Callithrix jacchus: one gene and its partners. The protein of the gene in region 5 purifies or fractionates together with the protein of the main gene of each other region. This does not show direct contact. Links are inferred from orthologs where the notes say so. Each region holds a gene or a part of one and is shown on either strand. Other genes may lie near its edges.

Region 1 (4,050 bases), on a different chromosome or scaffold from region 5:
AGGAGTTCCAGACCAGCCTGGCCAACATGGTGAAACCCCATCTCTACTAAAAATACAAAAATTAGCCAAGCATGGTGATGCATGCTTGTAATCCCAGCTACTCAGGAGGCTGAGGCAGGAGAATTGTTTGAACCCAGGAGGCGGAGATTGCAGTGAGCCGAGATCGTGCCATTGCACTCCAGCCTGGGCGACAGAGCAAGACTCCATCTCAAAAATAAATAGAATCTATATTCATCAATTAGTTAAAGAGACATTAAGATGACGATTTTTTTTCTCCATGCCTCTGTATTGCAACTTATGCCAGTGTTTCTCATTTAAACCTTACAGCAATCCTATCAGTACAGAAGGAGCAGTGTTAAAAAAAAAACAAAAAACAAAAAAACAAATAGATATCAGAATGGTAAGTAGAGTGGGAAAACTGCAGTTCAGATAGGTTATGCAGGGAACTCAGGAAAAATAGTTGAGCTGGGGCTACAAGGCTACAAATTCTAAAACCCATGCTCCTCCCCTGAATTCCAAGTTTTGTTACAAATTCACCATATTCAATAGTAAAAGATCATGGAAGTGGAAGCTTCTGGTCTCTTGTAAACTGCCAATCCACCATTAGCTATTATTATAACACTTGTCAAAGTATCACCAGTAAAATGATGATTGGGGCAACTGAAAAACGTTAGGGAAATGTGATGGTTAACTTTATGTGCAACCTGATTCGGCTAGAGGATGCCCAGATAGCTGGTGGTAACACTTCTGAGTGTGTCTGTGAGTTCCAGAGGGTTTGCTTTACTGGGCTTCCAGCTTGCAGATGGCAAATCTTGGGACTTTTCAGCCTCTATAATTGTATGACCCAATCCATCACAATAAATCTCAATACATCTATACATCTATACAGTTCAATACATCTACACAGTTGACCCTTGAACAATATAGGTTTAATTGTGCAGGTCCACTTATACATGGATTTTCTTCCACCTCTAGGACTCTTTTGAGACAGGGTCTTGCTTTGTCACCCAGGTTGGGGTGCAGTGGCACAATTTTGGCTCACTGTAGCCTCCACCTCCTGAGTTCAAGCGATTCCTGTGCCTCAGCCTCTCAAGTACCTGGGATTACAGGCACACACCACATGCCTGGCTAATTTTTGCTGTTACTGTATTTTTAGAAGAGACTGGATTTTACCACGTTGACCGGGCTGGTCTCAAACCCCTGACCTCAGGCAATCTGCCCACCTCAGCCTCCCAAATTGCTAGGATTACAGGCATGTGCCACCGCGCCTGGCCGGTATTTACATTTAAAATGTGAAACTGGGGCCGGCTGTGGTGGCTTGCGCCTGTAATTCCAGCATTTGGGGAGGCTTTGGTTAGGACTGCTTAAACCCAGACGTTTGAGGCTGCAAGAGGCTGCAGTGAGCTGTGACAGCACCACTGCTCTCCAGTCTGAGCAACAGAGAACCTGTCTCGAAGAAAAAAAAAAAAAAAAGAGATTGATAATGCCTAGGGAAGAATCAGCAGGCCAGAGGCAAAGGAAGAGAATGTTCAGCAAGCCAAATGAAGACAGCATTTCAAGAAGAGGCAGTGATCAACAGCATCAAATGCTGCTACAAGACTGAGACCTAACTTAACAATGAATTTGGCCACCTAGAGATCACCGATGGCTCTGATAAAGAGCTGTTTATGTTTTTTGTTTTTGTTTTTTTTTTTTTTTGAAACGGAGTCTCACTGTCACCCAGGCTGGAGTGCAACTGTGGCACCATCTCAGCTCACTGCAACCTCCACCTCTCGGGTTCAAGCGATTCTCGTGCCTCAGCCTCCCAAGTAGCTGGGATTATAGGCACACACCACCATGCCAGGCTAATTTCTGTATTTTTAGTAGAAATGGGGGTTTGCCAGGCTGGACTCAAACTCCTGACAGGTAATCCACCCACCTCGGCCTCCCAAAGTGCTGGGATTACAGGCGTGAGCCACCGCTCCTGGCGACAAGGAACTGTTTTAGTGAAGTGGTGGAGACCAAAGCCTGACTATAGGCTCAAGGGTTCAAGACTTGGAGGAGGCACTAGGGAAGATAGGCTGAGGTCTCTGGCTGCAAACCCGAGCTGAGAAGGTAACTAGAGAATAGGGAGAGTGAAGGAGGTTGTTTTGCTGTTAAGACGGGCATTTTTGTCCGGGCGCGGGGACTCACGCCTATACTCCCCACACTTTGGGAGGGCGAGGCGGGATGCTGAGTCCACGAGTTAGAGACCAGCCTGAGCAAATGACAAGCTGTGTATCTTTAAAAAAACAAAAAAAGATTCTTTTGTGCAAATAATAAGTGCTGGAGTTCGGGGCCCAGCCTCTGTCCGCATCTTCGTGACCCTGGGCCGAGTATGCCACCTGGGGGGCCGCGTCCCTGTCAAGCCCGGCGTGCCGCAGTTTCCCATCATCCGGGATGGAAGCGCGCACGCGCAGACCTCGAGAGGCCGGGCACAGGGCCCGCCCTCCCCGAGCCCCGCCCCTCCCATCCGCAGCGCTAGCGCACCGCCCCTCGAGCGCCGCCTCAGGGAGGCCGGGAACCACTGCTCAAAGGGAGGACTCAGCCCTTGGCTCCCGCGCTTTGCCGGAGGGCTTAGGCCACAGCCCGTCCCCACCTACCCAGTCTCGGACAAAACAAGCTCGTCGGGCTGGAAACCGACGTGGGGAACAGGCGCATTCGTCGAACGCTTTTTCGGAGTCTGCGATGGTCACGGACCTCCGTTCGAAGATTGGCGGCACGTCGAGAACCGTACACGCTTTTTTTTCCTTGTATGAGCGTAGTCGCGCGAGGCCCCTCTACGCATGCGCGGTCGTTCCTCTGTGACGTGACGCGCTGCCCCTTGGGAAATGTAGTTTTTACTTGCCATACCTCTCCGGCTCCTGGCGGAACCCTTTCAACCAACCAGAGTGCGGGTGCGTTTTCAGCGTTTTCTTCCATTCTTCCAGACTCTGTTTTAAACAAAATGCAAAAAATAAAACAACAACAGCTTGAAAGCGAGCAGATTGTTGCTTGCTGGAGGAGGGTGGGCGCAGGAAATATGGTAATATGGAAACTGCACTTTCTGCTCAATTTTGCTGCGAACCTAAAACTGCCCTAAAAAATAAAGTCTGTTGTTAAAAAATTAAAAACAAGTAGATCGCTAAGAAATTGAAATTTTAGGGAGTCTTCTTAGAAAAGTATTAAGGATATGGAAGTGCAATGGACGTGTAGCCTCAATGGTATTTATCGAAGGCCATCATAGTATCATACAATTTCTTAACGCTTCAAATGTCCGTAATTATATATTTGTTTGTTGATTATTTGATGGACTTGCAAGTCCTATGAGATTGGGATCATCTTTTGTTCACCTGTGTATTCTTAGGACCTAGCACAGTGCCTGGACATCAGCATGCTTTTTTCTTTTTTTCTCTTTGAGACAGGGTCTTGCTCTGTTGTCCAGGTTGGAGTGCAATGGTGCCACCAGGGCTCTTGAGCCGCTAGGACTACAAGCTCACACCAGCACATTCTGCTAATTAAAAAAAAATTTTGTAGAGATGGGGGTCTTGCTATGTTGCCTAGGCTGTTCTTTAGTTCCTGGGGTCAAGTGATTCTCCTGCCTCAGCCTCCCAAAGTGCTGGGATTACAGCCGTGAGCCACTGGACTCAGCCCCGTCAGTATTTTTCTGTTTATTAGAGAATCTCAGGCTTAGCACTGGAACTATATTAACCCGAAAATTAATTCGTCGTTTTCTTCCATCACACTTGGCATTTCTTTCTGTGTGCTCTAGGTCAGTGAATAACATGTCCATCCACCCAGCCTCAGTTCGACTTACTGCATTTTAGGAAAGTTATGCTTTGAGGGATTTCACAATTTTTGAATTTGTAAAGATCTCAGGAGCTCTTTCTCCTGATTGTTAAATATCAGCCGTAACCCAGCTGCGGCTCACGCCTGTAATGCCAGCACTTTGGGAGGCCGAAGCGGGTAGGTCACAAGGCCAGGAGTTGGAGACCAGCCTGGCCAATATGGTGAAACCCTGTCTTCACTAAAAATACAAAAATTAGCTGGGCA
Region 2 (4,268 bases), about 15 Mb from region 5:
AGATAAGCATTATCTGACTGCAACCAGATACAACAATAAAACAAGTTCTTTTTTCAGCAGATAAAAAAGAGCAAGAAATTCATACTTAGAACAAATCAAACAAATCACGAAGCACAGAATTTTAAAAAGTACCATAATAGGATTAATATGCAGAACGTATGCTAAAGTTTATAGTAAAAAAAAAAATTCACTATCTCATGTTAAAATAGGGAACAGGCAGATTATTTACATACAAAATAATCTCAGAACACAATGAAATTTACCAATAAAATACGTTTAAAGCATGATTGCATATAATTCCACACACTGAAATTTAGTTACAGATGTTTAAAGCTGAAATTTAATATAAACAATATATCCTTTAAAAAGGTCTATTAAAATGCAATGTAAGATGAAACGATTAAAATTATAAGGCAAGATAAAAAGCACTTTATGGTAAAATCAACCCAATAAGAAACATAAAGTTAATACATCTTAAAAGTTAAATTCTAAGTTGAAAGTAATCACTAAAAATCCGTTAATGATCACAGCTCATTAATTGTAACAAAATAAACATTATAGGTTCTTGTTATGCAGAAATTTTATTTTCAACACTGTCTATAGAGTTGATCATCATACTACTATAGAATACTAATGAATTTCAAGAAATAATATTAAAATACAGCTACTATTAAGTAGTAAGGAAAACACTGCAACGGTTTGTTAAAAGCACATGTTAGGACATCTTTCCTCATTTAGTAAGTTACTTTATAAAACTAAAGGTCCATTTCAGGAGAATTCCTACTTTTACATGACAAAGGCAAGAACTAGATAAATACAACGGTGAGAATCAAGTTCATGGGCAGTCACAGCATACTCAAGGAGCACGTAGGGAAGCTTTCTCTACATTTTCGCAGGTCAAAGGGCCAGGGGGACACAGGAAAGATCACTCTTCAGTGGAATGGACCTTCAGTTTCATTTGGCTCTGCCTTACAGGAGCAGTTTGGCTTGGGCAGACAAGTCAGTTAACTTTCCGTGTTTGAGTGTTTTCCTCTGTCAAGTGCGCTTAGGCTCTTCTGTGTTATCTCCAAAGTTAGGAAGAACTAAAGGCAACCCTAGTTTTACTTTTTAAAAATAATGACAGAAAAATACATAACTTGCTATTCATCAATGCACTGTTTCCAGGGCTGAATTCCTAAGTCTCTGAAGCATATTCAGCTCGGGATATACCAGTGAAGATCCAGATACTATAGTCACAATGTAACTCTCTCACCTCACATTATTCCTCCACCTGCTCCTCCCCATCCTGCTTTATTTTCTCTTCTGGTGTGTTTCAAGTAGCAACGCCAGCAAACGGCCATATGCATTTGTAAGCTTAAGGAGGAAATCATTTTAAAGGATGCATTTTCAATCAAATGTATCATCCACTTCGCCAAATTCCTCCTCAATGTCTGAATTTCCATTAAGAGAATAAAAATGAGTTAACTTTGGAAACAGATTTATACGGGGCCAGTTGTTTCGTTTGTTTTACTTGCTTAAAAAATAAAACAGCAAGATGTGTCTATTCCCTCAGGAACATAAATGCATTACCCGCCCAATGAGAAAACAATTCTGCTGGTTCATTTCCCTGACACAACAGCTTCGTTGTCAGGCCCTTTCTAGCCCAGGCTCCAACGTCATCTAGTAATTTTATATTGATCACCTTGGCAGTACTTGGACTCCAGCAGACATAGTCTGTCTTCCTTGCATTCCTCAAAAAAATGAAATAAAATAAAACTCTACGAAACACCACTGAACAGAGATTCTGTGACTTCGAATCCAATCTCCACGTCTTCCCGCCCTGTGTTAGGCAGCTGCAAATGTTATTTTTTTTCTCGCTTGCATAAAATGGAAGCGAACCGTACCCAGACCCTATATTTGAATCCTAGGACAATGAAGCCGACAGGAAGCCACTCTCTCCTCCCCCAGGTTTACTACGGGGCCAGAGCCTCCGCGGGGTGCAGTCGCCTGGCACGGTGCATGACACCGCGTCTTCCACGCCCTCCCGACGCGTCCGAAAGGCTCCTCGCCTGACCTCGCCAACCGCCTCACACCCCAAAACCAGCCACACAAAAGGGATCGGCCCCGGGAGCTGCTCCAATCGGGGAGAAATCCCTTCCCCAGCGGCCGCGCAGCCATTCCCTCCAATGCTCCGCCCGCACCCCTAGCAAACTGCTACGGCGGAGGGGGGAGGGCTGCACAAAGCCAGGCGAAAGCTGAAAATGATTCAACGCACTGAGGAGACGCCGAGGCGGCGGGCAAGGGCTCGGGAAAGCCGGGGGCCCGCAGGACTGGAGCTCCCGGGGGCGGCGGGTGGGGGATGGGAGGAGTGGCCCTGTCAAGCCCCCCGGTCCCGGGCCGGGAGAGGGTGGGGGTGGCGGCGCCGCGCGGAGCATCCGGGAAGCGCCCCCTTCGCGGTCCAGCCCCGCAGCCCCGCACCCCCGCCCCGTGGCGGGCCGCGCCCGAGTCCTCGCCGCAAACCAGAGAAGCAGGATGTGGAAAAGCAGCCGCGGAGGCAGCGGCGCCCACACCGAGCAGCCGATCGCATCACTTACCCCTCACCGTGGAGAGAGGGACCGGACGGGGGAGGCGGGGCGCGTCGCGTCCCGTGAGTCTCTCGCACGCCGTCCTCCCCCGACCTCGTCGTCGTCGTCGCCGCTGTTGTCGTCGCTGTCGCTGCCGCTGCGGTCGAGCTCCGGGGCCCTCAGCTCCGCCGGGCAATAACGTTATTCCACACACGCCCCACACATAGCGGTAACGGCAAAGAGCGGCTGCCTAGTGCGCAGGCGCCTCGGGAAATGGCGAGGAGCCGGACCCGATCCCCTCCTCCTGCCCAGTTCCAGCGATCCCTTACTGCGCAGGCGCCAGACACAGACAATGAAAAGGGGTTGTGCGAGGGTCTCACCCACTCGCTTTTCCAGCTTGGCCACTGCGCAGGCGTGCCCCAAGAGACCAGCTTAAACAATGAAGAGGACCTTGGCTTTAGGTGGGACCGCAACCAACGAGGACTACAGTTCCCAGTGGGCAGAGCGCCAACTCCAAGTGGAGGTCCGGTTGCTGGGCATGCTAGGAGTTGTAGTGTCGGCCGCCTTTACAATCTAGGCTGTTTGGAAGATTTTAGAGTTTCTATTTCTTGAGGATTTATTCGACCATTTTGAAAAATATCGCAACTGAAGCAGGGTTCAGAGCTTACTATCTGAGTCCTAGAGTAGACTTAGGGATCAACTGCTGCATGTTAGCAAATTTCCAAGCGTCAAGGCCTTCAGTGAGCCCTTTCTGACATTTGGGTGGTCCAGGCAGCTGAAGGATGGGATGGAGGCGGGACTAAACCAGGCTGGGCTGCAGGAAAAAGGGCGGGGCCTGGAAACCTGTCTCTTGGCAACAGGCTGTGGCCGCCAAACCGTCCAAGCTAGAGCCTGTGGCGCGGTGGTCTCTGGGAATTGTAGTGTAGCTGGAAGGCTCTCAGAATTGTCAAGCTTGCAGGCTCTGCACCTGAGGACTACAACTCCCGACGTCCACCGGGAGGGCCAGTGGGTGGGAATAGCCCCCAAGAGCTCCGTGCGGGATTCTAGGCTCCCCTGTGACAGCCGCGGCAGGAAGGGGGCGGGCGCTCCCCGGCCACGGGCCTGTTGTTCTCGGAAGCGAGAAAGCTGGACATTTCCCCCCGTAACTCCCAGCTCTGGGCCTAGAGTGTGCATGGCGAAGTCCCCGGAGAACTCTACCCTGGAGGAGATTCTGGGGCAGTATCAACGGAGTCTCCGGGGTGAGTTGCTCCAAACCTCTGTTCCTAGCCCCGAGGTGCCCGGGGCCTAGAGGGCGGGAGCAGACCAGGTGCGTTTCCTAACACCTGCGTTCTGCCCCAGCTAGGCTACAGAGGAGCGAGATGGGTGTTGCTGTGATCTTTTGAGGAGGATGAAATAGTTTGAGTTTGTTTCTACAGTTAAGCAACGTTGTTTCCTTAGATTCCCGTAGTTACCTGAACCAACTCCTTGATCTTAACTTGGGCATGTTTCTCAACCAGCGACGGCAGAAACTCTTGGATGGCTCTATGTCACTTTTGCCCAGTTTCCATACTTTGCTGTTTAATCCAGTAAAAGTCAGATTCACAGTTTTTACACATTTAAAGTATGGCGTAGTGGATTGAATGTGATTTGTAGGATCAGTGTGTGTGTGTGTGTGTTGGGGACACTAATTATTTAAATCACTACAGCCCCCATTTAATTGTTCTAGGCTATTTGCATGCAATTAAT
Region 3 (3,500 bases), on a different chromosome or scaffold from region 5:
CCCCACACAGGAGAACTCGGCACTCACTCTCACTAAAGGATTGAATGATTCTAAGTGTAACTTTGAAAAATGCTTAGTTTTTCCAACTATAGAAATAAAAACCACATGAAAGACACATGTACAAAACCAGCCAAAACTTTTGTGAAAGACCAGTGAGGGGGGGCCAGGAAGCCAACCAGCCAGCACAGTCAGAGCATGCATGCGGCTCCAGGGCAGAGGCTGGGTGGCGCTCACACTGGGAGACATGGCGGAACAGCAGGTGCTTTGCCACGTGATGGAGGAGGTGGGTACAAACGAAGGAGGCCGTGTCATCGGCAGGAGCAACACGGATTAATTCATAAATGGCGTCAGGACCATCAGCTATTAATTTGTGAGAACAAAGGTAAAATCCTGTACAACCCTTACTTCAAATCTTATATAAAAGCCACGTTTTATAATGATTCAAGAGTTAAATTCTTTTTCAGGATGTTAAAAAAAGGATGCAGGTCCCCCACAACACTGCTGTTTTCTTCCCCAGAATGCAGGGCTGATGCCATTACTAGCAGGGGACTCTGAAAACACAGTGGCACTGTGTCTGCTCATGGAGAGTGGGCTGGCCCCTGCTCAGGGCCACACTTCCCATGATGGCTGTCATGCCAGGGAAGCTGCTGAGGCCTGTGCCCACCACATGATCTCATTTAATCCTCACAAGAGCCCACGAGTCAGAAATGACCTCTATCAGACAGAAGAGATAGGTTACCTGCCTACCAGGCACCACGCTCAGAGGGACAGAGCAAGGACTCAGCACAGTGTGAGCCAGCGCCAAATCCATCCAAATCCATCCTCTCCCCGCCTGGCTCCCATCTCTTTTCATTGCATGAATTTTCAGATTTACTTTTGAAGGGATAAATCATCTATCTTTTCCTTCCATCACCACATCATCTCCATCTTCAATCATTTATTAAATATTTAACCTTGGCCAAAACCTACCCCGGTTTGAGTAGAAATACCAAAAGCTAAAACAAAGGCCAGAGTGTATCGGACTCTCTGAGGAAGGGGGCTGTAGCCTGGGTGGGAGAAAGCCCGTCACACAGTATACAGGGGACTTACAGGGGCCTTGGCAGTCACCTGGAAAACATCCTCCCTGTTTCCCAAGTGAAGTCACAGGCAGCTGAGGAGCCTTTCTCAGGAAAATAGCTGGGTAAACTCTCATGGATGAAGCACCTAGGAGGGAGGACAAGGCTGTGCTCTCAGGAGCAAGCCTCACAGAGAGAAGGCAAAGGCAGATGCTCAGTCTTGATCCTCATACAGGACCGGAAGCAGGACCAGGCGGACGAAGGCCCAGGGAAGAACATGAAGCAAAAGAAGCCAGTTGGCTTCAGAAAGCTGTGTTTCCAGACACTTTTCCCATCAGAAGTCTCTAGCCCCATGAGAAACCTGACATGGCCGGAGCAGAGCTGAGAGTGAGGAGTCAGAGCACTGGACTCGGAGCTCCACTTCTTAGCTGTGGAACTCTGAGGAGGCTTTTCCCTCCTCCTGGACCTTGGATCATGCTATGTGACTTCCAGCGAATGTCTTGACCTCTGTGGGCCTCAGTTTCCTCATCTGTAGCTAGGAAAATGGTGTCTCATAGCATTCCCAAATGATAAAACATAACTACTGTCACCACAGAGCTGTTACTATAACGAGAACAGCTTCCTCAGACATGGAAAGGCCAGTTCAGCAATGGCATCTGTACCTGCAGCTCACTCACCTCTTCCCATTTGGGGTCTATGAGGACACCTGGGGAACCCAGATGGGACGTGCTCTTTTACATAGGCTGTAATAGACAAAAATCCAAAGGCCTCCCGGGAAGTCATCTGGGAACCAGGACCAAAATTCCCTACACTCGGAGCACAGAAGAGGGGCGGGCGGCGTGTTTGGCCACTGAGACGATGAACACCTGGTGAGCGAGGGCCCGTCAGGCACGCTCACCTCCCTTCTCTGAAGTCACTTACTTAATGCACTTCATCCACTCCTCCTTCTCCTCGGGCGTCGGAGCTGAGATCCGGTAAACAGTGTGGTTCCCCTCCACGACCCGCCCGTCAGCCTCGGTCTTGCAGGCCTTGATGACTTGGTCTTTATTGTCTGGGATATAAAGCTCAAAGCAGTTCTGAGAATCAAAACAGAGAGGAGAGACTGAAGCAAAGGATGCTGCTGACTGAGAAACACGCTGATTTCTTTCCCCAAAGCCTCTTTATTCTGACCTTCACAAAATACAAGCAAGATGTATTTTCCTAAGGAAAAGTGAAGCTTAGAAGTAGAATTCTGGAGACTGTAAATTGCATAGAAATAAGTCTTGTTAGCAAACATACCAACCTGATATAAGATGGCTCCACTTCTAATGCATGTAAAATATGGAGAGAACCACAGGTTACTGAAGACTTTTTAAAGTCAAGCCAGTAACATCGTGATGGTCCAAAACAAAGGAAAAATAAATACAAGGTGTCCCAAGGTCATAAAATAAATAGCCCACCCATGAGTGTTTGCTGTCGCCATCTGAGGAGGAGCAACTTCTACACCCCATGTGATATTCACTAAGTGAAACTATAAACCAGATGGACAGCACAGAAAGAAGTGATTTAGTCTCATCTTCGGCTTGAACAATACAATAAAAAATTAGACTAAATAAAAGGCCTGATCACACTTTTCAGTGCTTTGGTTTCAGGTTTTTAAAAAAAATCTTTGAAACACCCATCCCCTTTCTCCCCTCAAAAATACTCACTGGTTTTTTGGAGTCCTCCACCTCCCGGATACTCAGATTCTCTAAAGGGATGATTCCACGGGGCTCCTTATCCTACAGAACAGTGGAAAAGAGGAGGTTTAAGGACACACACATGGTCAGATTCCTCCCCGGCAACTCATCCTAACTCTCCTGCCTTCTCCCAGGACATGATGTTCACAAATCGGCCTGAGGGACCACTCCTTACGTTCCAAAATAAGAACAGCATCAAGAATGCCTGAGGGTTGCCAAAAGAACTGCAGGTCCTCTGTAAGTAGAGCCCAGGAGATTCAACAGGTACCTCAAGAGTGTGCCTTGCAATGACCCAGGGCCGGTCCTCAAGCAGCAAGTGTGCAGCCTCCTTCCTCTAGAAGGGCCTTTCCCTCTCCCCTTTTCCTGGCTCTCCTACTCATCTCTCGAGCCTCAGTTCTGGGGCAGCAACTCCAGGAAACCTTTCCTAGTCTTACCCTAGCGGCCCTGCCCTGCCCTGTACCCCTGATGCCTGGGACAGCAGCTACGGTACAGGCCATTAAGGACCCTTGCCTCTGTCCATCCCTTCACTGCCAGACAGTACAGTCTTCAGAGACACCTGAATTTCCAAAGGCACCTAAACTCCTGTCCCGAATAGAGCTGCACCTGCCAACTAGTCCCATCTCATCTGCAGAGACCACAGCACTGCATACACTTCCAGCACACGTCTGATGGCAGCTTCACAGTCCCCTGATATCCAGCCAACCCACGGCCAAGTCTTAGTACTGTG
Region 4 (4,068 bases), on a different chromosome or scaffold from region 5:
AACGGAAGGATCCTTTGGTTCAATGGACAGCTTATAAATATAAAACAGTTGCTGGAAAATTATATTAGAGATGAACTATCTCCTCCATTACAATGTTTGCTTTTCTGTAATGCAATTTAGTTCCAGCAGAAAGGCTTGGGAGAGGCCACAAGCAATGCTTCAGGAGTTACTGGAAGCAAGATATGGGGAATGAGAGAAGAGATCCATCGATGTGGAGCAGGGGCCAGCCGAGGCCTTGTGCCCAGGAGGCTTGCGCTGAGGACCCTTGCTTTGCCCAAGGGAAATTGAATTCAGAGCTCCTTCTGCATCATAAATTCAGGGCAGCTGGCAGCTCTCCAAGGGATACTGGCGCTAAACTCCAAGGGCATCTGCCGCCAGATTGGCCAACCCCTACAATGCCCTTTGAGGGCTGAGCCCCAGGTGTGTTGGATTGGGATGCCGATCCAGCCTCACGACAGCATTCATTTAGAAGCTCTGCATTTTGTTAATTTAAAAATGCACTCACCGTCAGGGAAGGAGAGCCTCTATTATATATGAGACAGCTGAAAGGCTGGAATTATTCTGACATGCCTATCTTAGGAAGGAGAAGGCCTGACCTTTTTCTTCCTTTTTTTTTTTTTTTTTTTTTTTTTTTTTTTTTTTGAGACAGTCTCACTCTATCACCCAGGCTGGAGTGCAGTGGTGCAATAACTCACTGCAGCCTCGACCTGCTGGGCTCAAGTGACCTGACCTCCCACCTCAGCCTCCCCAGTAGCTGGAACTACAGTCACGCGCCACCATGCACGGGTAATTAAATATGTTTTTTGTAGAGACAGGGTCTCCCTATGTTACAGGAGCTGGTCTCGAACTTCTGGTCTCCAGCAATCCTTCCATTTCAACCTCTCAAAGTACTGGAATACAGGTGTGAGCCACCGAGCCTGGCCAGGTCTGACTTCTGAATGCGTTCGTTTTTTGATCTTTTACCCCGAGTGCAAGTGCAAGTTACACTCCTGACCACTGGGTTTTGCAAAATGTGGTTTCCAGTGTCCGAGGCCCCACGCCCGTCCGCAGGCTACTGAAAGGCTGAGGGCTAGGAAGCTTCGCTCCGCGCGCTTCAGGTCCGCCGGCGCCCTAGGGGCCGGGTCTACAGCAGCAGAAGCCGCCGGGCCGGGCCGGTTCCCGAGGGCGGGGCCGTGCGGCCTCACGCCCCGCCCACCCCCGGGGGGGGGGCGCCCTGGGTCGGTCACGTGACGGCACGCCGACCAGCGAGGCCCCGCCCCGCGGGAGGAGGCCCCGCTGCGACCCGGGCTGCGCGCTGAGGAGCCGCCCGGTCGCCCGCACGCTACCTCTGGCTGCGTCCCCCGCCCGCGGCCCCTCTGCCGTCCGCCCGGGGCTTGCCGGCTGCGGGAGTGGCCTCAAGATGGATGAAGACGGCGGCGGCGAGGGCGGTGAGTGTCGGAGGTGTGGCGGGCTGGCCGGCGGCCTGGGGCCGGGGGCTGGGGGTCGCGGGCGCGGCGCCGGCCCGGCGTCCGCCTGAGGAGACTGGGACTGGGGCGGCGGCGGCGCCTGCTGGAGGCCTGAGGCGCGCCGGGCCGGGGCCGAGACGGGGACTTCGGGGGCCCGAGGGAAGCGGCTGGCCGGGGTCGCCGTCCAGCGCTGGCGAGGGTCCCGGTACCAGGCCGGGGCCACCGCGGGCCGGGGTCGCCCCAGAGTCTCGGGCGGAGGTTCGGGGGTCGCTCCTATGGGGCGGGGGACCTTGTGGGGCGACCTTCCCCGCATCTTGTCGCCAAGGGCGTCCACGCCCTCCGGAGCCAGGCGTTTCGGACGCCCCCTTTGAGCTCAGGTGGGCGGAAGCGGCTGAGCCGGTGGGGAACCGGGAGGGGAAAGTTTGGCATGGGGGGCTCCTCTGGGGTACAGGAGGGGAGGGCAGGGGGAGCGGTTGGAAAGCGTGACAGGCTGCTTGGCTTGGGTCAGAAACGGTCGCCGGATTTGCTCGAACGGGGAGGGGTCTAGCTGGAGTCCAGGTGGGGGTAGGCGTTTTAGGAAACGGCAGACGCGACAGAGTGAGCAAAAAAACTCGATGGAGCGGAGGGTGGGGGTCAGGAGCTGCACCCAGCACCGAGGCGAGACCGGAGAGCCAGATGTGCTCCCAAGTGGGTCGGGTCGGTGCCCGACGTGCCCCAGGTGGTCTGTGCCTGACATTCGGTTTCCTCTTACTGGAGGAATCGTGTTTGTTGGAAATTATTTCGTGGAATACAAATGACTGTTGGGTCATGCTGCGAATTAGATTTTAAAAACAGAAGAACGTGCCTGTCTGTATGGAGTGGCTGTTCGCTTTGGAAAGCAAAGGGTTAATGCCTATGTTTTTACAGGAACAGACGAAGTTGAGGTTCTCTAGACTTTTTTCATTTTTGGCTTTTTTTGAGCTAAAGATCTCCTTTGAGCTGACAGAAATCAGAATCATCAGAACCTCATGTAATAAGGGAGCAGTTTAGAGAAATCTTAATTACAGGCTGCCGCAGCAGCTGCCTGTAAGAATCAGCAGTATTGAATGCTTCAGGATGAAGTGGTTCATCATCAAGGTGCCTTCTAGAATTCAAGTGCTGCTTAGAGGGAGATTCTTTTTGCTGAAAGACGCGATGCAGCCAGGATGGTGGGAAGTTGGCACCCGTCATGGCATTTGGCGAGTTCAGTTCTCATAGTTGAAGCTAGGGGTAGCACTGTGGCATCGAGTGGGTGTGTTTATGAAAAGGGAGCGTTGCGGAACGAAGGAGCCCAGTTGCAAACCCTCCTACAGTCAGGTTGTCCGTCTGGAGCCACGAGATCCTAAGGAATGGATTCCCGGTGGAGGTCGTGTTTCCTGCCTGTCATAATTTGGGCAGAGCAGTTTTCTCTTGTTAGAAAAGAAGGACAAACAACTGTAATATGCAGACGTTTGGCATTAGAGTCAGGGCAGCTCGCTGGCTTGGCAGTTTGTTTTGTACTTTGGGCTCTGAGAAAAGAAATGTAGACTTGAAGATAAAAGCAGGGATAAAGAGGAAAAAAAGGAAGCTTTAGTGTGCTCCAGCAATTTGCAGATCTTGAATAGTATAACAAAGGATGATATTAAGTATCAAAAGTCTTAAAACTGTCCTTGGGCTGTTATTATTATCACAGGGAAGCAACCTTAAAATAAAAAAAAACCTCATGTATAAAGATGGTGTATTATGCTGTTTGTAATAGCAAAACATTGAAAACAGCAATACCAACCGTAGGGGCATGGTGAAGTAAATTATGGAAAGTTTATTCAAGTATTTTACAACCATTAAAATAAGCGGTTTTATACATCATGGGTTAAACAATGTAAAAACTGGTGACATTATGGATTATTTTATTTTTTTCAAGTTTTCCAAGTTTCTGGAATAAGCATGTATTTCAAATTTGAAAAAACTTATAAAAGACATCAATGTTTTAAGTGTATTATTTAATTCACCTCACCAGAACATTCAACAATGAAGATTTATTTATTGATTGCCCAGTAAAATGCCAGCCAGCATGTTAGGTGCTGGAAAATAACTTTTAACTTTTATCGATTTAGTTTATAAATAGCTTTCTCCCTTGCTTTGTGACAGACACTTAAAAATATTTTTGGTAGACTGGGTGCGGTGGCTCACTCCTGTAATCCCAGTACTTTGTGAGGTCGAAGAGGGCAGATCACCTGAGGTTGGGAGTTTGAGACCAGTGTGACCTACATGGTGAACCCCGTCTTTACTAAAAATACAAAATTAGCTGGGCGTGGTGGCGTATGCCTGCAATTCCAGCTATTCAGGAGGCTGAGGCAGAAGAATTGCTTAAACTGGGGAAGCAGAGGTTGTGGCAAGCCAAAATCGTGCCAACGGTTGAGTTTTGAGCGAAACTCCGTCTCAAAAAGAAAAAAAAGAAAAAATACACACACACACACACACACACACACACACACACACCGTATATATTTAGCAGTCTTAGGATAAGTATTTATTTTATTTTATTTTGAGACAGTCTTGTTTTGTCTCCAGGCTGGAGTGCAGTGGCGTGATCTCCGCTCACTGCAACCTCCGCCTCCCGGTTCAA
Region 5 (3,500 bases):
GACTTGCTCCCGTTGCTGCAGCTGGGATAATGAATGAATGCCCTCAAAGAAGATTCAGCATCTCGTCAGTGCTTGGGAGGGAGTATGCCCATGTTTGTATAAATAAGTACCTTCTCAGAGCAGAACCACAGCTGAGGGGGGAGTGGGAACTGTGACCCCCTTCCCCAACATGCCACAAAAGTGGTGCCTTTCCAAAACCACTTGTAAAGAATTGGTGTTTAGGACTATGATGAAAAAATGTTAGAAGGGCCAGGTGCAGTGGCCCACACCTGTAATCTTAGCACTTCGAGAAGCGGAGGTGGGTGGATCCTTTGAGGTGAAGAGTTTGAGATCAGCCTGGCCAAAATGACAAAACCCCATCTCTACTAAAAACACAAAAATTAGCCGGGCCTGGTGGCACGTGACTGTAATCCCAGTTACTCAGAAAGCTGAGACAGGAGGATCTCTTGAACCCCAGAGGCAGAGGTTCCAGTGAGCCAAAATCTTGCCACTGCACTCCAGCCTGGGCCACAGAGTGATACTCCATCTCAAAAACAAACAAAATGTTAGAGGGAGCAGTGAGTGGGGCTGCAAGCCCTTGAGACGCCCAGAGGTGGCTGTCAAAGGATGGCTGCTGTCCACTAACCACCAGTATGGGCCAGTCCCCAGCTGGACCCCCTGAGGCTACAATCTGTGATGCCACCGACTCAAAGCTCAGAAGTCTGGGGACCCACAGGGCATAGACAGGGCATAGTGACTGGGTCCCTAAAGAGGATTTATGGGGTCAGGAAAATAGCACGGTCTACCAAGACAATACACCACCAGGATATACTGATCTTTGACCTCGCACTTGGTGTGCATCACAGAGCACATTAGAAAGGGGAAAGGGATTCTCCCCCAGCCCAGGCCCAGGCACTCACAGACCTGGGACATGGGGGAGAGTCATGTGCATGAGTATGTACCGTATCCAGCCTCCAGCAGTAGTGGGACAGGAGGGCCGGGGCAGTTCTCCAGGGAAGTTCTTAGGACCAGAACACAGAGCTTTGGAGAACTCCCAAGGTGGCCCACTCTGCTTCACGTGTCCCCTGCCACTTGTCTTGCCTAAGGAGACAGATGCTGTCAGTCAGACAGGCAAGACCTTAAGTCCAGTAGGCCAAACTCTGGAGGGTAAAGCATAATCATATCACGGGGATCTTCAGGATGATCACATATATAAATCCTTAGGTCAGGGCTTCTGAAAAAAGTCGTGTAAAAAAAACAAAATAAAAAGTCTCAGCTCCAGGTCATCGGCCTGCGATGGGGGTGGGAGAGCTGAAAGAGGCACTCAGGGGTGGGGGGTCTCAGCCCACCCCCTCCGTGAAAGTCTTTTCCAGCATGGGGCACAGAGTTACACCTGGCTGATGATCTCTCCTTTCTCAGGTACAAAGACTTGCACAGGGGCCCCGTCAGGCGATCTCCGCAGCACACACACTGTGGGCACCTGCCAGGGTCGGGAAGGAGAGGTGGGTAAACGAACCAGGCAGAAAAGCGGGGACAGTAGGCACAGCTACACCATCCTTATCCCTTAGGGACACTGACCAGCAGCAGCAGCAGGCCCTGGCACTCAGCCCCTTCCTCCCCAGGAGGCTCTGTCCTTCAGGGATCCCCCTTTACACATTTTCCTCCAGGTTCCTTTGGGGTGTGACAGGCGCCCTGACCTCCTCCTCCCCACATTTCCTGCACTCACTTCTCATCACCCTGTCTGGCAGGTTGGGATGGGCTGGGTCTATCCAGCCAAGGACAGGCCCAAGCGTGCATGAAGGAAAAAGCACGTCAGCTAGAGGGCGAGGCCTGGGACTGGGGCCAGGGTGTTGCCAGGCCCAGGATGCCAGCTGCAGCCCAGAGTACCGTGGGTGGGGGAGGGACACGCAGCTGGGCCTGCTGGGAACCTGGGGTCTAAAAGAAGCAGCTTGTTGGTAACTTCTGGAGCACGTCCCCTGCAGAGCCCTCCGTACCAGGGAGAAAGAATGAAGAAAGGATTCCTGTGTGTGATTCCCCACTTCCAGAATGAAGAAATAGGGGCCAAGGAAACCAAGGCTGCCACCCTACCCAGTATCAGAGTGCTCTATCCTTTATACTGCCCCCCAGCCTGCTCCCTGGCCTCTGCAGCCCTAGATGATAATAATGTCACATATCTAGTGCTTGCCATGCATTGCTCTAATCATTTCTGCCTCTTGGCAGCCCTGTGAGACAGGTACTCTACTACTTCCATTTCACAGGGGAGGAAAGAGTAAGTCCAGAGGGGTTAAGTAACTTGCCCAGTCATACAGTTCGTAAGTGGCAGAACTGGGATTTGAATCCAGTGGTCTAGCTTGAGGGTCGGTGTTCTTTTTTTTTTTTTTTTTGAGACAGTTTCAAAAAAACTGGCCTTGTTGCCCAGGCTAGAGTTCAGTGGTGTGAGCTTGGCTCACTGCAACCTTCACCTCCCGGGTTCAAGGGATTCTCCTGCCTCAGCCTCCTGAGTAGCTGGGATTACAGGCGCCTGCCACCACGCCCGGCTAATTTTTTTGTATTATAAGTAGAGATGGTGTTTCCCCATGTTGGGCAGGCTGGTCTTGAACTCATGACCACAGGCAATCTGCCCGCCTCAGCCTCCCAAAGTGCTGGGATTACAGATGTGAGCCACCGCGCCCCACCGAGGGTCGGTGCTCTTAACTTTGATGCCACCGTTCTTCTCGGCTTGGTGCTGAGGAGGGGTGTCGGGGAGGATGCTGTTGCACAGGGTCTGGCCTCTGCAACACATTTCCTACTCTCCCTTTGTCCTAGACCTTCAAATGGACATTTAAGGGGCTGATTTGGATTGGATTTTTTATTATGAAGAGGCCTGTCTGCTTTGTGGATCATCATTTAGGGAGGGAAGAAGTCTCAGTATCTTCGGGGATCATCTCCGCCAGTGTATTTACTCTTGAGCTACACATGGCCGGCAAAATTAGGAGGTGCCCCGGGGAAGCCAAGAGGAAATGATTTTTTGGCCTGTTCTTCCTAGCTGGGGATTACCCGGCCACTGGGTTGCTGCTTCGTTACCTCCCTGCCCTTGGACTTGCTAGAATTGAGGCCCCTCCCCAGCAAGACAGCCCTCCTGCCTGGCCCCAGGGTCCCTCCAGAGCAGCCATACCTGTGTCCGGGGTCCCAGGGCTCGCCCGAAGCCCTCTCTCCCCAGGGGCAGGCTCCTGACGCGGAAAGCCCCTTGTCGGTCCAGTGAGTGGGGGCGGGTGCTCCGGAGGCGTGCGCGCTCGTGCCACCACTTGAGCTCCTCGGACACAGCAGCCTTGCTGAGTCCCCGGCCTGCCGGGCTGTCCTTCAGGGAAGGCGTCCGCACGATGCGGCTGCGGGAGGGCACCAGCCGCTGGTAGCGCAGGGGAGCGCCGTCCTCCTCGTAGGCAGGGCCCAGGGCTGCGCGGAAGGGCTCCCACTCGCCAGGCGGCAGGGGGCTCTCAGCCACCACCACGTACCGCCCCGCCGGGAAATAGCCAGGGGGCAGC
Region 6 (4,300 bases), on a different chromosome or scaffold from region 5:
TGTAAGGGCAGGAGCTGGGCATGGGGGGGCGGGTGAGAAACCCCACGGGAGCTGAGTGGTGGCCATACCTCTCCCCCAGGTAGTCCCCGATGGCGGTCTTGTTCAGCCCCTCGCCCTTGTATAGGAAGCGGGCGATCTCCTCGGGTGTGTTCTGCAGAAGTTCGTTCTCCACCAAAAACTGGATGCCCTGGTGGTGGGGACAACAAGGTCTCAGTGCTGAGGGCCAGAAAGCCACTCCCCTCACCTCCCGGGGAATCTCAGCATCCATACCTACCCCCACCCTCAACAGACCAGGGCCAGCTTCATTTTCAGCCTTCTCACAGGTCCTTAAACAGCATTCTTCCTGACTTAGAGCCTTTGCAACTCATGGCCCACCCTTTCTGCCTTTGCCTGGTTAACTGCAGCATCAACAACAGGGTCTGGCTAGGAACAGGGGCTCACTACATTTTCTTTCTTTTTTTTTTTTTTTGACAGTCTCATCCTATCTCCAGGCTGGAGTGCAACGGTGTCATCGCAGCTCACTGCGATTCCGTTTTCCGGTTTCAAGCAATTCTCCTGCCTCAGCCTCCTGAGTAGCTGGGACTACAGGCACGCACCACCACACCTGGCTAATTTTTTTGTTTTTCAGTAGCGATGAGGTTTCACCATGCTAGTCAAGATGGTCTCGATCTCTTGACCTTGTGATCCACCTGCCTTGGCCTCCCAAAGTGCTGGGATTACAGGTGTGAGCCACCACGTCCGGCTTTTTTTTTTTTTTTTTTTTGAGACCTGGTCTTGCTCTGTTGCAGACTGAAGTGCAGTGGCGTGATCACAGCTTACTGCAGCTTTGAACTGCTGGGCTCAAGGGATCCTCTCACTTCAGCCTCCTGAGAAGCTGGAACTATGGGCATGAACCAACACACTTGGATAATTGATTTACTTATTTACATCTTTTCTAGAAATGAGTTATCACTATGCTGCCCAGGCTGGTCTCAAATTCCTGCTTCAAGCAATCCTCCCGCCTCGGCATCTCGAAGCACTGGGATTACAGGCGTAAGCCAACTAAACCAGCCAATAAACAGTTACTGAATGACTGAAAAGGGTTCCAGTTGCTTCAGGAAACAATAACGTGACAACCTGTTAGCAGTCTCTCCAGGGCTGTGAACTCAAGAGCCCAGGCTAGGCTGAGGCTTCTCTGAGTCTCTGTGCTATGAAGACCTCTCTGTTACTGCCGTATCTCACTCTGAATTGTGCTACTGGTGTTCAGGGAGTGCAGGGCAGCATCTGATTCTTCTTTTGGTCTCTAGCATCATCCTATACAGGATCAGACTCTCAAGAGGCCTCGGAAAATGGGTGTTAAATGAGTATGTGAACAGGCTGGGCATGGTAGCTCACGCCTCTAATCCCAGCACTTTGGGAGGCTGAGGCAGGCGGATCATGTAAGTTCAGGAGTTTGAAACCAGCCTGCCCAATATGATGAAACCCCTTCTCTACTAAAAATAGAAAACTTAGCTGGGCATGGTGGCGAGAGCCTGTAAGCCCAGCTACTCGAAAGGCTGAGGCAGGAGGATTGCTTGAACCCAGGAGGCAGAGGTTGCAGTGAGCCAAGATCGCATCACTGCACTCCAGCCTGGGTGAAAGAGCAAGATAATGTAAAAAAAAAAAGTGAACAAAACACTTTCCTGAACCTGGTGAACACCTATTCATCCTTCAAACCTGACCTGAATGTCTCCTCCTCAAAGAAGCCCTCCCTGACTCTACCAGCCTGCCCCCTCCCGATACCTCTGTCATGGCAGTCAACTCTCGTTTGTGCACGCCCCTTTGTCCACAGCCCCTACAAGACTCGGAGCTCATCCTGAGACTAGAAGAAGTGCACCCATACAAGTAGACAGTGAAAGAGAACCCTCCCGGCAGGGGACGCAACTAGAGTGTCAGGAGGGCTGGAACACTTTGTGTGTTCCAAACGGACAGCCAGTCTCTGAATCCAGGGATTAGGACCAAGTCTGTCCACCTAGAACAGACCCGGAGCCATGCTTCTGGAACCCGGAGGTGCCAGAAGTTCCTGCCTGGACGTCTGCCCAGCTGATCCCAGTCCTGTGGCCCCAAGCACCTTCTTGGGGTCCATGTTGAACTTCTTCCTGCCCATTGCCATCTTCCGGTTCCGCTGCAAGGTCTTACTGCAGGAGCAGAGAGCAGGGTAGGGGGCGGAAGGTCAACGCCTGGACATCCCTGGCCTCGGCCAACCCCACGCCCCCCAGGTCGTCCACCCCAGCCCTCACCTGCCCTCATTGGCCTCTAGCCCCTCCACCTCGCTCATGGCTTCGCTGAGCTCCTCCCGCAGGCGCTGAATCTCCACCAGCAGCTCCTGCTTCCGCCGCCGGATGTTCTCCAGCTCCATCCGCTCCTCCGGAGTCAGGTCTGGGGGTTCTGGGGGTCAGGGTCAAGGTTTCAAAGTCAGTGCTGGGGGCTGTGAGCCGGGATTCCCGCAGTCTGGGGGTGGAGAGAGCTCGGAAAGGACGCATAAGGGGCTTCCTATGTCTGGACCGAAGAATGGACTGGGGGCCTGGATTCCAAACTCTCGAGTCCTGGGGAAGGAGTGGACTTGGGGCCCGGATTCCTGAGTCTGAGGGAGAAGGGGAATGGGTGCTTGAGCTCTTAGGTCTGAGGGAAGAAAGGGCTGGGAGCCGGAATTTCTAGGTCCATTACTTGGAAGGGGACTGAGGCTTTGGTTTTCTGACTCCATTCCTGGAGAGGTGGTAGCTGAGGACCTGGCTGTCCGGACTCCTGGGTCCATGAAAAGTCACTACAGCCAAGGGAACTGATGACAGCTCGACAGAGTTGGGAAGGTGGGGCGGGACATCGACGGCCCCCGCCCCCCAAGATTTCTCCCCTCCCGGCAACCCGAGTGCCCCTCCCCGGCAGGCGCCGGGCTCGCCCGCCCCTCCAGCTGGAATGGTTCCGCCTCGGCCGCGCCTCCACCGCTCCATCCCGCCCCTCCCGCCGCCACCGGAAACAGGCTCAGCCCAAACAATGGCCTGGAACACCCCGCTCTCGGTTCCAGCCGGAAGCCCGTCCAGCGCCCCACAAAAGCGGCGCGACGAGGCTACGGCGGGACCCAACGCCTCTGGGCGGCACGCACCAGGAAGAAACGTTCGCGGCGGAACGTTCAGGAGAAAACGCTCTAGCAGCTCCCATCCGACCCCGCCCCTCCACGACCTACCATAGACGCCGTCCTCCATGGCGGCTAGGAAGGCCCGCGGGGAGTCCGGGGCGGTCCCGCCAGTCGGGCCTGGATCCGCGTTGGCCCGCGGGCTCTGGTGAGCCCGCTCAAACGCCCCGGGAGCCACCGCCGCCTCCTCAGCGCCAGTCCTCAGCGCTGAAAAGACCCTCCCTTCGTCTTCCAACCGCCCCTTCAGTAGGGACCGCCCCTCTTTTTGACACCGTCCAATCCACAGTGGGCGCTTTCGTCCTCCCCGCCCTCGACACCAAAGGATCGTCCTCCAGGGCCAAGAGTCGCACAAAAAGCTGATATAGGTATGTCTGGCCGGAGGTAGACGGCCCGCGGGACCAATCGGAGTGCAGGCAGGGCAGCAGGCCCCGCCTCTGAAACAACAGATGGCCCTTGACAGGCTTGCTCTCCAATGAGAAGCCTCGGAAAAGTGTTGCGTGGAGGCGGAGCTATGTGGAGCAGACATGACGGCGCCTGCTCAAAGGCCTTGGACACTGGGAGACTAGGTCAACCGAACCCCGCCTCCAGCGGTGCGTTGCTAGGGGGAGGTACTTTGTTAGTCTTGTTGCCAGGGGGCGGGGCTACAACTGTGGCTTGTTTTTGAAAGCCACACCTCCTAGCAGCCCATGCTGGCTTCTGACCGCAGAGGTTGCCATGCAACGGGGAGCAGCTTTGAGCCTCTTTTGCATTTCTTCTCCGGGTACTTTCCTCTCCTCTCAGTCCCTTCTAATCTTCAAACTCCTTACCATCATCTATGCCCTCCCCATTCCCCTTAGCCTCTTCAGAGTCATGGAGTGGTGAAACGAAAGATTTATTCTTTTTTTTTTTTGAAGTGGAGCCCTGCTCTGTCACCCAGGCAGTGGCGCGATCTCGGCTCACTGCGACCTCTGCCTCCCGGGTTCAAGAGATTCTCCTGCCTCAGCCTCCCGAGTAGCTGGGACTACAGGCACACGCCACCACTCCTGGCTAATTTTCGGTTTTTTTTTTTTAATAGAGTCGGGGTTTCACCGTGTGGGTCAGGCTGATCTTGAACTCCTGACCTTGTGATCCGCCCGCCTTGACCTCCCAAAGTGCTGGGATTACAGGTGTGAG

What was found.
Region 1: the proteins of INAVA (region 5) and SGF29 purify together in Homo sapiens (co-immunoprecipitation; 3 studies listed by BioGRID and IntAct, counting the BioPlex papers as one, with this or other methods). This does not show direct contact. The link is inferred for Callithrix jacchus from reciprocal best matches to the Homo sapiens genes INAVA and SGF29.
Region 2: the proteins of INAVA (region 5) and CEP170 purify together in Homo sapiens (co-immunoprecipitation; 3 studies listed by BioGRID and IntAct, counting the BioPlex papers as one, with this or other methods). This does not show direct contact. The link is inferred for Callithrix jacchus from reciprocal best matches to the Homo sapiens genes INAVA and CEP170.
Region 3: the proteins of INAVA (region 5) and CYTH1 purify together in Homo sapiens (co-immunoprecipitation; 3 studies listed by BioGRID and IntAct, counting the BioPlex papers as one, with this or other methods). This does not show direct contact. The link is inferred for Callithrix jacchus from reciprocal best matches to the Homo sapiens genes INAVA and CYTH1.
Region 4: the proteins of INAVA (region 5) and CYTH3 purify together in Homo sapiens (co-immunoprecipitation; 3 studies listed by BioGRID and IntAct, counting the BioPlex papers as one, with this or other methods). This does not show direct contact. The link is inferred for Callithrix jacchus from reciprocal best matches to the Homo sapiens genes INAVA and CYTH3.
Region 6: the proteins of INAVA (region 5) and CYTH2 purify together in Homo sapiens (co-immunoprecipitation; 3 studies listed by BioGRID and IntAct, counting the BioPlex papers as one, with this or other methods). This does not show direct contact. The link is inferred for Callithrix jacchus from reciprocal best matches to the Homo sapiens genes INAVA and CYTH2.

What each region holds. Positions count from the first base shown.
Region 1 is NC_133513.1:29,281,225-29,285,274, reverse strand, and holds the start of SGF29 (SAGA-associated factor 29), read right to left. Parts: upstream 2,801-4,050; 5' UTR 2,622-2,800; intron 1-2,621. UniProt on the Homo sapiens protein: Chromatin reader component of some histone acetyltransferase (HAT) SAGA-type complexes like the TFTC-HAT, ATAC or STAGA complexes.
Region 2 is NC_133520.1:42,879,484-42,883,751, reverse strand, and holds the start of CEP170 (centrosomal protein of 170 kDa), read right to left. Parts: upstream 2,801-4,268; 5' UTR 2,574-2,800; intron 1-2,573. Other genes in the region: SDCCAG8 (serologically defined colon cancer antigen 8), read left to right, coding at 2,983-3,066.
Region 3 is NC_133506.1:134,443,572-134,447,071, forward strand, and holds part of CYTH1 (cytohesin-1), read right to left. Parts: intron 2,816-3,500; coding exon 2,744-2,815; intron 2,132-2,743; coding exon 1,977-2,131; intron 1-1,976. UniProt on the Homo sapiens protein: Promotes guanine-nucleotide exchange on ARF1, ARF5 and ARF6. Promotes the activation of ARF factors through replacement of GDP with GTP.
Region 4 is NC_133503.1:15,993,758-15,997,825, reverse strand, and holds the start of CYTH3 (cytohesin-3), read left to right. Parts: upstream 1-1,268; 5' UTR 1,269-1,399; coding exon 1,400-1,427; intron 1,428-4,068. UniProt on the Homo sapiens protein: Promotes guanine-nucleotide exchange on ARF1 and ARF6. Promotes the activation of ARF factors through replacement of GDP with GTP. Plays a role in the epithelial polarization.
Region 5 is NC_133520.1:27,929,877-27,933,376, reverse strand, and holds part of INAVA (innate immunity activator protein), read right to left. Parts: coding exon 3,134-3,500; intron 1,460-3,133; coding exon 1,367-1,459; 3' UTR 1-1,366. UniProt on the Homo sapiens protein: Expressed in peripheral macrophages and intestinal myeloid-derived cells, is required for optimal PRR (pattern recognition receptor)-induced signaling, cytokine secretion, and bacterial clearance.
Region 6 is NC_133523.1:42,350,223-42,354,522, reverse strand, and holds the start of CYTH2 (cytohesin-2), read right to left. Parts: upstream 2,801-4,300; 5' UTR 2,774-2,800; coding exon 2,686-2,773; intron 2,407-2,685; coding exon 2,259-2,406; intron 2,157-2,258; coding exon 2,090-2,156; intron 188-2,089; coding exon 69-187; intron 1-68. Other genes in the region: uncharacterized protein LOC128930433, read left to right, coding at 2,801-3,508. UniProt on the Homo sapiens protein: Acts as a guanine-nucleotide exchange factor (GEF). Promotes guanine-nucleotide exchange on ARF1, ARF3 and ARF6. Activates ARF factors through replacement of GDP with GTP.